2 linked regions of the Oreochromis niloticus genome follow. The protein of the gene in region 1 purifies or fractionates together with the protein of each later gene. This does not show direct contact. Links are inferred from orthologs where the notes say so. Each region holds a gene or a part of one and is shown in the gene's direction. Other genes may lie near its edges.

The links. The genes of interacting proteins can lie anywhere in the genome.
Region 2: the proteins of rrs1 (region 1) and ftsj3 purify together in Homo sapiens (affinity purification with mass spectrometry; 3 studies listed by BioGRID and IntAct, counting the BioPlex papers as one, with this or other methods). This does not show direct contact. The link is inferred for Oreochromis niloticus from reciprocal best matches to the Homo sapiens genes RRS1 and FTSJ3.

The regions. Positions count from the first base shown.
Region 1 is NC_031974.2:19,371,452-19,377,267, forward strand, and holds rrs1 (ribosome biogenesis regulatory protein homolog), read left to right. Parts: upstream 1-2,988; 5' UTR 2,989-3,022; coding exon 3,023-4,057; 3' UTR 4,058-4,313; downstream 4,314-5,816. UniProt on the Homo sapiens protein: Involved in ribosomal large subunit assembly. May regulate the localization of the 5S RNP/5S ribonucleoprotein particle to the nucleolus.
Region 2 is NC_031986.2:45,584,097-45,590,474, forward strand, and holds the start of ftsj3 (pre-rRNA 2'-O-ribose RNA methyltransferase FTSJ3), read left to right. Parts: upstream 1-2,494; 5' UTR 2,495-2,636; coding exon 2,637-2,703; intron 2,704-2,841; coding exon 2,842-2,947; intron 2,948-3,457; coding exon 3,458-3,504; intron 3,505-3,613; coding exon 3,614-3,693; intron 3,694-3,832; coding exon 3,833-3,932; intron 3,933-4,170; coding exon 4,171-4,365; intron 4,366-4,473; coding exon 4,474-4,589; intron 4,590-4,777; coding exon 4,778-4,882; intron 4,883-4,982; coding exon 4,983-5,083; intron 5,084-5,244; coding exon 5,245-5,331; intron 5,332-5,429; coding exon 5,430-5,576; intron 5,577-5,758; coding exon 5,759-5,894; intron 5,895-6,014; coding exon 6,015-6,208; intron 6,209-6,378.

The DNA.
Region 1 (5,816 bases):
CATTGAATTATTCATCCTTATTGATTTTTCATCAAGTATCCATTTTCAGGAGCCATCACTCAAGTGTTCCTCAGCCATATTGTGTTCCCTGATGTTAAAAGAATAATAACAACTTTTCCATTTGTGTTAGCACTGTTAAAGTTTCCTCTATCCAAGGTCTGTATTTTTAAAAATTTTAATATTTAGCGTTTATTGGCTTTGCGTCTCTGTCTTGAAGGCCAGCATTATGAGGTCGCCTCTTCACGGCTGATATTGAGTGTGGTGTTTTGTGGGTACCTTTAGTCACGATTTGCGAGGGCAGATTGCGTGGAGAGGAGAGTGGACCAAAAGCAGACAAACAGCGAGATAGGTGGATGTTTAACAGACAGCGAGCCTTTATTCTTGGCTGCAGGAAAATACTACAAAACAACTAGCGAAGGGGAACTGAGAAAAACATAAGCACATGAGATACACAGAAAACACAATATAGAAACCTGGAGAAACCCCGGGACTTGGAAACACGAGAAGTGAAGCAGTGGATGATGAGCAGACGATCCGACAAGAACAAAGGAAAATACACACAATAAAGACAGAGGGTAACGAAGGTGACAGAAGGGAGACACAGCTGAACCTAATCTGACACATAAGACAAAGAGGAAGCAAAGCGGCACAGGCGGTTGACTGGTTGGCGGTGTGGTGTGTTGCGGCAGCCGCAAGGCAGTTGAGCGGCTGGCGGTATGGCGTGGTAGCTGTAGGCGGTTGAGCGTTTGGTGGAGCAGTGTGGCAGCTATAGGCGCTTGAGCAGTTGGCGGCGCAGCAGCTGCAGCCGGTTGAGCGATTGGTGGCATGGCGTGGCAGCTGCAGTCAGTTGGTGGCGTGATGTGGTGTGGCATCCGCAGGTAGTTGAGTGGTTGGCTTCGCGGGAGCCGCAAGTGGTTAAGCGGTTGACGGCATGGCGTGGCAGCCACAGTCTGTTGGCAGTGTAGTGTGACGTGGCAGCCGCAGGCGGTTGAGCGGTTGGCAGCGTGGCGTGGCAGCCGCATGCGGTTGAGTGGTTGAGCGGTTGGTGGCGTGGCGTGGCGTGGCAGTCGCAGGCGGTTGAGCGGTTGAGCAGTTGGTGGCGTGGCATGGCGTGGCGTGGCGTGGCGTGGAAGCTGCAGGCGGTTGAGTGGGAGCGGTTGAGCAGTTGGTGGCGTTGCGTGGCGTGGCGTGGCGTGGCGTGGCAGCTGCAGGCGGTTGAGTGGTGGCTAACCTGATTCTCCTGAGTGTACAACAGACAAGGAAGGTGGCTGGACGGGCTCACCTGAGCGAGGAACAAGAGAAAACACACACAAAGACAGAGGGTAACAAAGGAATACGAGACAAAAGGGAGACACAGCTGAACTTAATCTGGCACATGAGACAGGGAGGAAGCAAAGCAGAATACTCTAACACAGGTGTGGGGATGTCAAAGTAAAGCAGGAAATACACAAATATAGGAACCAGGATAACTAGACATAATACAGAACACAGGGGAGGCACATTAACAAAACCTAAAGCCTAGGAACTAAGAATATAAAACAAGCAGAAAACAATAAAGAGAACCAAAACCATGAATAACAATAATCAAGGAATATAAATTAAACAAACACAAAACACAGGGTCACAGACCCAGTACTGTGACAACTTTTAATGAAGATGCTAGTTGTGGAGCTGCAAGGTGACTCAGAGTCGAGGTTCTGATGTAATCTGATGTTCTGCTGCTTAGCTGAGACACCAGGGTCTCCCTTCTCTTTTTCTAAGGTTAGACACCCTCCACACATGTAATTTAACAAATGCAGTGCTCAAAAACAGCAGGACAATTTTCATGTATGCTAACATAAATTAGCCCTCAATACATTTTCATTGGGTAACACAGTGTCTAACTGAAACACAGGAATGACTGCTGATAATGGACACTTTTATGCCTATGTATAGATAATCCATTAAAATCATGAATGATATACTATGAATGACTCCATTAATTTTCATTTACACCATTTCTTGTCAATTCAATGTAATTTCTATAGAAAATAAAAAAAATTTTTTATATAAAACAAGAACATTATAGAACCTCAGGTGGGTTTTTTGTTTTGTTTAAAAACACCTTTAGATTTTTTAATTTTGGAAATGTATTTATTATTAAAGGCAGATCATTTTTGTATACAGTGATGAGAAAAAGTCCATGTGCCACTTCTCATTTCTTTATATTTTGCTTGAAAAACAGGAAATTGGCAGAGCGATTTATTGAAGCATGTGCAAATATATATAAATACATGTATATACAGCATATAAGAGCAAAGATTGAGTTTGTGCTCCATTTTCAATCCATTTTTTCTATCCAGGTATGCTTTTACTGAAATGACAGTATGTTTGGTTTCATTGTCATGCTGAAAAATGAAGATGTTGCCAATTGGACAATTTCTAGATGGTGTTGCATGGTGGATCTGTATCTGATGCCACTGAGGTCACAATTCATCACTTTTGACAAGATCTCCAAGACCACTGGATGAAATGCAGCGCCAAACCATGACGGAGCCTCCACTGCGTTTTACAAATAACTGTAGACACTCACTGTCCTGCCTGCATATTGATGACAATCTGAACCAAAAATGTCATATTTGAATTCATCACTCCATCAGATCTGCTGCCACTGATTTTGAGTCTAGTTCTTGTGTAATTTGGCATACTTCAGCCTTTTCTCCCCGCTTCCCTTCCTTAAGAACAGCTTCTTGACAGCCACCCTCCCACTGAGACCATTTCTGGTGATGCTTCAGTGAACACTAAATGGATCACCTGAAGGGCCAGATCCATCTCTCGGGTCCAGTATCAGGTCTTTGTGGATTTTTCTTCCTGTCTCTTGAGGACATGACTTTCAGATACAGTCGCTGTTACGCAAAGAAATGAAACGACAGCGCTCTCCTGTGGTCACGTGTCAAACTGCAGCTCGACGACTTTGACCCGGAAGCAGTTTCGTGTGTTTTTCCTGCCTCACACGTGGGGTTTTCAGGCAGCACTGAGCAACATGGCAGCGTGCAGTGTAGAGGAGTTGTTGGCTAAAGCTGAGGCGCAAGAGGCGGAAACCCTGAAAAGCATATCAGTCCAGAAAGAGCTGGACCTGGAGTTTGACATCGGGAACCTGCTGGCGTGTGACAAAAACCGCATCGAGCCTCGCGACCTCCGGGAGAAGAGCAAAGAGGACTTTCTGCGTGCTCTCGCTCGCGACAACACGCAGCTTCTCATCAACGAAATATGGAAACAGCCCACGGAGAGGGTCGAGGAGGCGATAGTGGCCAAACTGCCGGAGCCGACGACCCGGCTGCCCAGAGAGAAGCTACCACCGAAACCCAGACCTCCAACAAAATGGGAGCAGTTCGCCAAGCTGAAGGGCATAAAGAAGAAGAAGAAGACCAACCTGGTGTGGGATGAAACCGCAAAGGAGTGGAAGAGGCGCTGGGGCTACAAGAGGGCCGGCGATGACACCAAAGAGTGGCTGATCGAGGTCCCCGAGAGCGCAGACCCGAATGAGGACCAGTTCGCCAAACGCGTCAAAGCCAAGAAGGAGAGGGTGGCCAAAAACGAGCTCAACAGGCTGAAAAACATCGCCAGATCGCAGAAAGTCAAGATCCCTGCTGTAACCCTGACCCCCAAAGCCAGCCAGTCCAAAGATGAGCTGGCCAGAGCCGAAAGTGTGGCCAAAACCTCCACAGCATCCTTGGGGAGGTTTCAGGACCGCCTGCCCAAGGAGAACCCAGCAAAGAAGGGCAAGAAGAGGAAATTCGAGCCCCTCATTGGCAACTTTTCTAATGAAAAGCAGAAGCAGCTGGAGCTCCTGAAAGTCATGGACACTAAGAAGCCCAAGTTGGACATCACCAAAGCTGTGAATAAACAGATGAGGGAGGAGGACAGAGAGGAGGCTGCTGCCAAACACAAGAAGGCAGCAGGGAAGAAGGGACGTAAAGGCAGCAGCATGGGTGGAAAGGCCAGAGGAAAAGGTGGGAAAGGAAAAGCAGCAGGAGGGGGAGGAGGGAAGAGAAGAGGCAAACCTGGGAAGCGCTGAGGACTCTTGTGTCTTCCTGTGTGTGGGTGTGTGTGTGCCTGCCTTGGCATCAAAGTGTTGGACATTCATGATGCAATATGAACTGATCACCTGGTTTACCTGTGGCCCACGGGTGGGATGCTCCCTCCATCTATGTAAACTATGTTTACTGTAAATTTTGACCCCAGCAACCATGATGTTTCTTTTCGATATATGTGTAATATTCATGAAAAAAATTCACAAATATACTTTAATATTACAGCCAAGTAGAACACGAGTGACTTGTTTTTCTGTCTTTAATTATTGCAGAAGTTATTTTTTAGTTCTGTGTGATTAAGGCTAATTTTGTTACCCTTTACATATTACTTTTTAAACTCTATATATACATTCAAAAATATTTGACTTCTAATTTTTAATTTCATTAAGTTTATATGAGTTACATAGTTTTAACGACAAAGTTTAATGTAGTTTATGTAACTTTGGGGAAAGACTTTAATAGTACTAATAAACCCAGAGTGTTTGTGCAAAACAAATTGGGATTATAAGCATTATTTGATATTTTAAATTAACTTACAATTTAAAAAAAAAAACATTCTTTAAATTGGGCTCAGGGACCCACATTTGTCTGTAGTCAGGAGGTCAAGAAATAATTTCCTATAAATCATAAAGGTTTGCTGCTGAATGATTAAAAAGTGTTACTCAAATGAAGATTTTCACGTGATTGTGGCTAATCATGTCAAACTAATGAGCTCACTCTTTTCTGTCAGGGTGCATCAACGTTCCTTTGGAAGCTTCTTTCTCCGATTGAAAGAAGGAAAAAAAAAAGTGCCATCCATAGGTCAAAAATTCAGGTTATCAACTTGGTAACTTAAAATAACTTGAAGTTATTAACTTTAAATTTTGAGATATGGATGACAGAAAAAGTTGTTTTTTCATTGTTAGAAACAAGCTTCCATATGTTCCCACTGCTGCTTATAGCTTTGTTTATTAGCCAATTAGACTGTATGGACAAAAGTCTATCTGGCATCTGTCTTTACAAACATTTTTGAAAGAGTCGGTCGTTCCCTGAATTAAACCGTGGTTCTGTAGTAGGAGTGCAATGAGTTCATTTAAAGTGGAAGTGTTTAGGAACCACAGGAACTCTATGTTAAGGTGGCTGAGGTGCTGTGCTGACTCAATAACAGCCTCCAACCTTCCTCTGGCATTAACATCCGCAGAAAAACTGCAGTGGCAGCTGCTGCAGCTTTGCGCTTGTAGTGTAAGTATTACAAGGGTGTTAAAATCCACACCATACTTTTATACACTTATCCACAAATTAGTTCTGATTTATTAGAATTAGTTTGCGGACCATTTCACCAACACAGCAGCAAAGTAGTACATGCATGTTCATCATTATTTCAATTTATTGTAAAAATAATGGAGTTAATAGGTGAATTTTCTGCTCCTGGATATGACGATATATGCATGCCAGAATATGAGACTGCATAAAAAGCCATGCAGTAGCTAAGAAAAACTCAGCCAAGGTTGGTGATGTGCAACAATACCTCTTATGGTATATTTAATAATGTGTTTGTGTGTATTTAGTAATATAAGGTGTATTTTCTGAGAGAATATGGGGGGAAAAACTGGTGCCGTACATTTTGGCTAGTTAAAAATGTAGCCTACAATGCCCAATGCTCCCAGGGATATTTAATGGAAACATGCAAACAGATTTTTTATACATACTTGTTAACTAATTTACATGATGGTCTCAGGGAATAGCTTCGAAGCTTCCCATTCA
Region 2 (6,378 bases), on another chromosome or scaffold:
ATGAAGCTTATACGACCAAATCCCAAGGAGGAGTTCGAAAAAGTTCGAGGCATGGAAATGGCAAAATTAGAGCCAAAATGTGACCTTCAATCCAAAATGGCGGACTTCCTGTAGGGTTTGCGTCAATGGGCCCATAGACTTTTTTGTTCGTCTTGGCATGATACACATGTGTGCCAGATTTCATACATGTAGCTCCTACGATGTGTTCGTAGGGCTGCATTTAACAAGGCATAGGTGGCGCTCTAGAGCCATTTCCCAATGCTGATATGTAAAACCATTGAAATACAAAATTTTTCACCAGGCCTGGCATGTGTGCAAAATTTCATGAGTTTTCGAGCATGTTAAAGCCCTCAAAAAGGCAATTCATTTCAATGAAAAATAATAATAATAATAATAATAATTAAAGCTGCAAGCAGCGTTATGAGGGCCCTCGCACCCCGGCACGTCGGGCCACACCCAACACCTACAACCAGCACGTCCGATCTGATGTCACATTGATGGAATTCATGCCTAGAACCACCAGCTAACGATTCATCTCATTCAATCATTATTATAGTCGTCCCACTAGGTGGCGCTCTAACCATTACTGACAAATGGGATAACAAACATTTCCGACCTTGAGTCTCATCACGCCTGCGAACTTTGGGAGAGATTGGACATTGTGTTTTTGAGTGACAGCAGATTACTGCTTTTTGGCGAGTGATTGAAACTCCACGTGCCGCCATGGCCACCCCGTTTCCCTGAACGTAAAAAGCTTCGCAATTTAACATCACAAAGGTCTTTAGATTCCACACACAGGAGATCGGGTTAATCTGATGAAATCCCTTGGAGGAGTTCGTCAAAGTATGAGGCCTGAAAAGAGGCGAAAAAGTGGCTAAAATTACACCTTAATTTAAAAATGGCTGACTTCCTGTTGGATTTGGGATATTGCTCCAAGAGACTTTTTTGTACATCTTGATATCCTCCATAAGCTTACCAGGTTTCAGACTTATAAATAAAACACAGAGCAGGGGCTGATGTTTTGAAATTTTGTAGGGGGCGCTGTGGAGCCATTTTGCACTATTCAAGGAAAATGATCACATAACAACAAAGCCCTCATCACATTGGAGGTTTGGGCCAAATTCCAAGACTTTTTAAAATTTCCAAGCCCCTCAAAAGCCACTTCGTCTTTCATGGTGAACCGCGTTGCCACCAGGGTGCGCCGTTCAGTTTAAAGTCACAATTTTCGCACAGAAGCATCATGAAGGACTGATGGTGATACTCACCGCTTTTCAGGTGGCCACGATGAACCTGTGAAAATCAGTAAAACAAAATGAAAGACATGACATTTCCTGGTGCCACTAGGTGGCGCTCTACGTATTCCTGACAATGGGCACATCAATCTGTTCAGGGCGGGTCTGACATCATGTCTGTAAAATCTGGTACTGATCAGATTGGATTTCATTGACTTACACTAATTTGTTTCTTCATGGCGAGACCTCAATGTTCGCCATGCTGCTGGGGTCACACCCTTCAGCGAAAACTCACAGTTTTCTCTGTAACCCAAGACCAACTCCTTAAGGCTTTCCTGGAGAAATTTGAGGCTGCAGATGTCACCCATTACAATACTGTACCCCAAAGTGTAAAACATGACATTTCCTGTTCCCACTAGGTGGCGCTCTCCCTGATGTCAAATATGGCAGTTGAAATATGTTCAGGGGTGGAGCCTTATCATATGTGTCCACTTTGGTCAAGGTCGGACAATGTATGACAGAAAGAGAGGCAATAAGATTTTCATGGCGAGTCATCGAAATTCGCCGTGGCGCCACGGCCTCACCGTATCCCGAAAACTCAAAAGCTCCGCAATTTAACATGGCCCAGGTGTGTAGTTGACACTGACCAAATATGAAGCTTGTACGATGAAATTCCAATGAGGAGTTCGCAAAAGTTCGAGGCATGGAAATGGCAAAATTAGAGCCAAAATGTCACGTTCACTTCCAAATGGCGGACTTCCTGTTGGGTTTGCGTCAATGGTCCCACAGACTTTTTTGTTCGTCTTGGCATGATACACATGTGTGCCAAATTTCATACATGTAGCTAAAACGATGTGTTTGTAGGGCTGCATTTAACAAGGCATAGGTGGCGCTACAGAGCCATTTCCCAGTGCTCATATGTAAAACCATTAAAATACAAAATTTTTCACCAGACCTGGCATGTGTGCAAAATTCCAAGAGTTTTCGAGCATGTTAAAGCCCTCAAAAAGGCCCTTCTTTTGCCTGAATAATAATAATAATAATAATAATAATAATAATAAGAAACGGAGCAGATACAATAGGGCCTTCGCACTCTCAGTGCTCGGGCCCTAATAATAATAAACAGAGCAGATACAATAGGGCCTTCGCACTCTCGGTGCTCGGGCCCTAATAATAATAATAATGAATGCATTTTATTTAAGATATCGTAGTAATGTGTTGTTAACAGCAGGTGGCGGAACATGCGCGAAACTAACAAACAAATCCGAAGAAGAAGAAGAAGAAGTGTGACGTCGTAGTCCTGCGCCGGCACGTGTACACGTGCTGTTTTCATAGGCAGAGGGGTGTTTTGAGTGTGTGACATATCTGTGTGTTAAGGTCCGGCGTAAAAGTAAAGCAGCAAATATGGGGAAGAAACTTAAGGTCGGAAAGACCCGGAAAGATAAATTCTACCACCTGGCCAAAGAAACAGGTAGAGTACCGGAAAACAACACGAGCTCGAGACTGTCGTGATATTAGCATTAGCAGGCTGAAGCTCCGATCGATATAAAGTTGTGGGTTGCAGACTTTTGGCAATCTTTTAAATCTCCTTTTTTTGTGTAATTTTTAGGTTATCGCTCTCGTTCCTCCTTCAAATTGATCCAGCTTAACCGTAAGTTCCAGTTTCTGCAGAAAGCCCGAGCTCTGGTGGATCTGTGCGCTGCACCTGGAGGGTGGTAAGCATCCCGTCACCAGACATGCCGTCGTGTGTGGTAACAAAAGGAAAAGAAGTAAACCCTCTGGGGGGAAGCTGGCCAGTAGACCACTTTGCAGTCTTTGGTCATTCGCTTCTGTCACATGTGAACGGTCACCAAAGGTCTTTGTTATAACAAGTGGCAGCTGAGTCAGGGACAGAGAGAAGAGAAAAGAGCGACCACGTTGACAGAAGTGTCAGGGGGAGAAAGTCAGTGAAGAGGAGCTGACTGGTGATTGTACAGTTGCAGTTTGTGTAAAGTTGCATTAACTTAGGACCGTGTGTGACCAAGCTTGACCTCCTCTCTAGTGAGCACGACTCTGGCTCACTATAATCACAGACTTTCTTTTGCTGTGATTACAAGATAAAATCCACGAGCCTTACAGAAATGACAATACGGTACAATATGTAATGACGGAAGTGAAAAACGGATAAATGAGTGATTTGTACTATGCAAAATAATTAAAGTTGAATTCAAAATCTCCTTTTCCAGGTTGCAGGTAGCGTCTAAGTTTATGCCTGTTTCAAGTCTGATTATCGGTGAGTACAAATTTCTCCAATGATAAATGGCTCTGTTTCTGTTATGCTTCTAAAGCAGCTGTAATGCGTGTGGCAATACTTCCCCGTAAGAGTGGTTTCTTCTTCTCAGGTGTTGACTTGGTCCCCATTAAACCCATCCCCAACGTGGTGACACTTCAAGAAGACATCACCACTGAGAAATGCAGACAGGTGAGAAAGCTGCTGCTGTTCACAGCATCACTGAAGAAACATAAAATCAGAGATGATATTTCAACAGTAGAGATGTGGACAGCCAACGCTGTGTTTGTGACATGGTTTTAACTGATGAGACACTCTTTCCGTTGTACAGGCTCTCAGAAAGGAGCTTCAGACTTGGAAAGTGGATGTTGTGTTAAACGATGGAGCCCCAAATGTGGGAGCTAACTGGCAGCACGATGCCTTTTCCCAAGGTGAGTCAAGAGAAAAAAACGTCTAGAGATCAGACTGCAGTAAAACAGCATTCGCACAATATGTCCAAAAATTATTTAATTTGGTTGATAAGGATTGTAAGGGGTTCTTTTTTGATACATCCTTACCACTCTTTGATTTTGTGTCTCTGTTGTGCCTAAACTACTTAAGTTCATGTCCATTTTCCACAGTATTTGGTATTTAAATCTAATTTTGAAATCCTCCCTTTTTCACCCACAGCTCACCTGACTCTCATGGCTCTGAAGTTGGCCTGTGAGTTTCTTACCAAAGGAGGCACCTTTGTCACCAAGGTGTTTCGTTCCAAAGACTACCAGCCTCTGCTCTGGATCTTCCAGCAGTTCTTCAAGAAGGTGCAGGCCACCAAACCGCAGGCATCCAGGAATGAGTCTGCTGAGATCTTTGTCATCTGTCAGGGTCGGTGTCATTATTTCATTTGCTTTTTGAAGACAATAAATAATGACCTTAATTTTGACCTTGTTCTTGACTAAACCTCACCTAAACCTCCCCCATTGTCATCATCAGGTTTTGTTGCCCCGGACAAAATCGACAGCAAGTTCTTTGACCCCAAGTATGCATTCAAAGAGGTGGAGGTGCAGGCCAAAACTGTGAAGGAGCTGATCCCTGTAAAGAAGCCAAAGGCATGTATACTGACAAGTGTTTGGTCACAATAAGCATGTCAGATCTGGCTGTGATTGCCTGGTATGAAATTTTTAGCTTTTAAACACTTTGTTTTATTTATCAGTCACAAGGTTTAAGACTTACTTTAAGTCACATTTGAGCCCAGAAATGAACCATCAGTGATGAAGCAGCTCTTCTTCTGTTGCAGGCGGAGGGATATACAGATGGAGATCTGACGCTCTACCACAGTTTCACGGTGACCGATTTTCTGAAAGCTGAGAACCCAGTCGACTTTCTGGGAAAAGCCAGTGAGGTGAGCTTTTTTTTGTTTGTGTGTGTGTTTGGGGGGGGGGGGGACAGTCCTGTTAAGAATAAGAAGAAAACTCGTGCTTTTCTTGCTCTGTCTCATTCAGATCACCTTCAACAATCCTGATCTGGAGTTTCACTCAGCAACCAGCAATGAAATAAAGGAGTGTTGTCGTGACATCAAAGTCCTGGGCCGCAAAGAACTCCGGTGAGCTTTTCCATCTCTCACTCGCCATGTTTGTGCTTTAGTAAGCTGCTGCTACTTTACTGTGCTTGCACATCACATACATCAGATGGTGTGAGAACGTGTTGTAGCATGAAGTGCTGTTAACACGGGCCGTGTTTGCATGTCTTTTCTCACGTTTGCAGCCTGCTGCTGAACTGGAGGTCCAAGCTGAGGAGATACCTAGCTAAGAAACTGAAAGATGAGGCTAAGCAGCTCGACCAGGAGATCAGGTTTAAAAAAAAAAAAGAAAAAGAAAAGAAAAAGCAATTTAAATATTAAATCTTTGTTAAAGTGTGTCACACATAAATCATCTCTACATTGTTTTTAGCTTAAGCTCGGATGAAGAAAGGAGCGATTCAGAGGAAGAAGCAGGAAAGAAGGAGGATGAAGAGGAGGAGGGTGAGGACAACGAGGAGGAAGAAATGGTGAAAAAGCTGACAGAGCTGAAAGCTGAGGAGGTGGCTGAGCTCAAACGGTATGAACCGCTTTAGTTTTGTGTTTTCGGTGAGATTAAATCCTCATCTTTCCTACTTTGTCTTGATAGGTGCATCTCGCCTAAAGAGAAGCAACACTTTACTTTTAGTTTCACCTCTCTTAGCTTTTACCACGGATGCAGTTGTAGGGGCAAACCAAGAAACTCTCTTGCTGATTTGGCAGGAAGAAGAGGAAACTGCTGAAGGAGCAGCGGAAGCAGAGAGAGAGAGTGGAGCTGAAGATGGATCTACCGGGTGTGTCCATCGCCTCCACTGAGGACTCGTCCTTGTTCTCTCTCGTCTCCATCAAGAAGAAAAAGGTAAACGTCACACGCTGCTTCCCAAAAGCACCAAAACTCAAGATCAGAATACCGCTGAGTTCAAGTACCACGAGCTTTATCACTGAGAAGTGGCTTCATGTTAATTTCTTGGTCCCTCAGGTGCTTGCTGACATATCAAAGGGGGACATGCAGACAGCGGACACTCTGGTAGATGAAGACGATGATTTTCACCTCTCCGATGAAGATGGCGATGATGCAGATAAAATGTCACTGGCATCTGATTTGGATGACGAGGATCTGGAAGAGGTGGAACGGCGACAAAAGGAGCTGGAAAAGAAAGCACCAAAAAAGAAGTAAGAGGCCATTCAGAGCAAAAGCACTCTGAGGTACTGGTGATGTGGTGCCTGGCTCTGTAGGAGTTCTCTTTAGAAAGGTGTTAAGCACTGAATAGCATGTATGCATGTTCAGTGAGTACAAATGATTATTTTTTTTTTTTTAGCAGAGTTGGTCTCAAACTAGACTG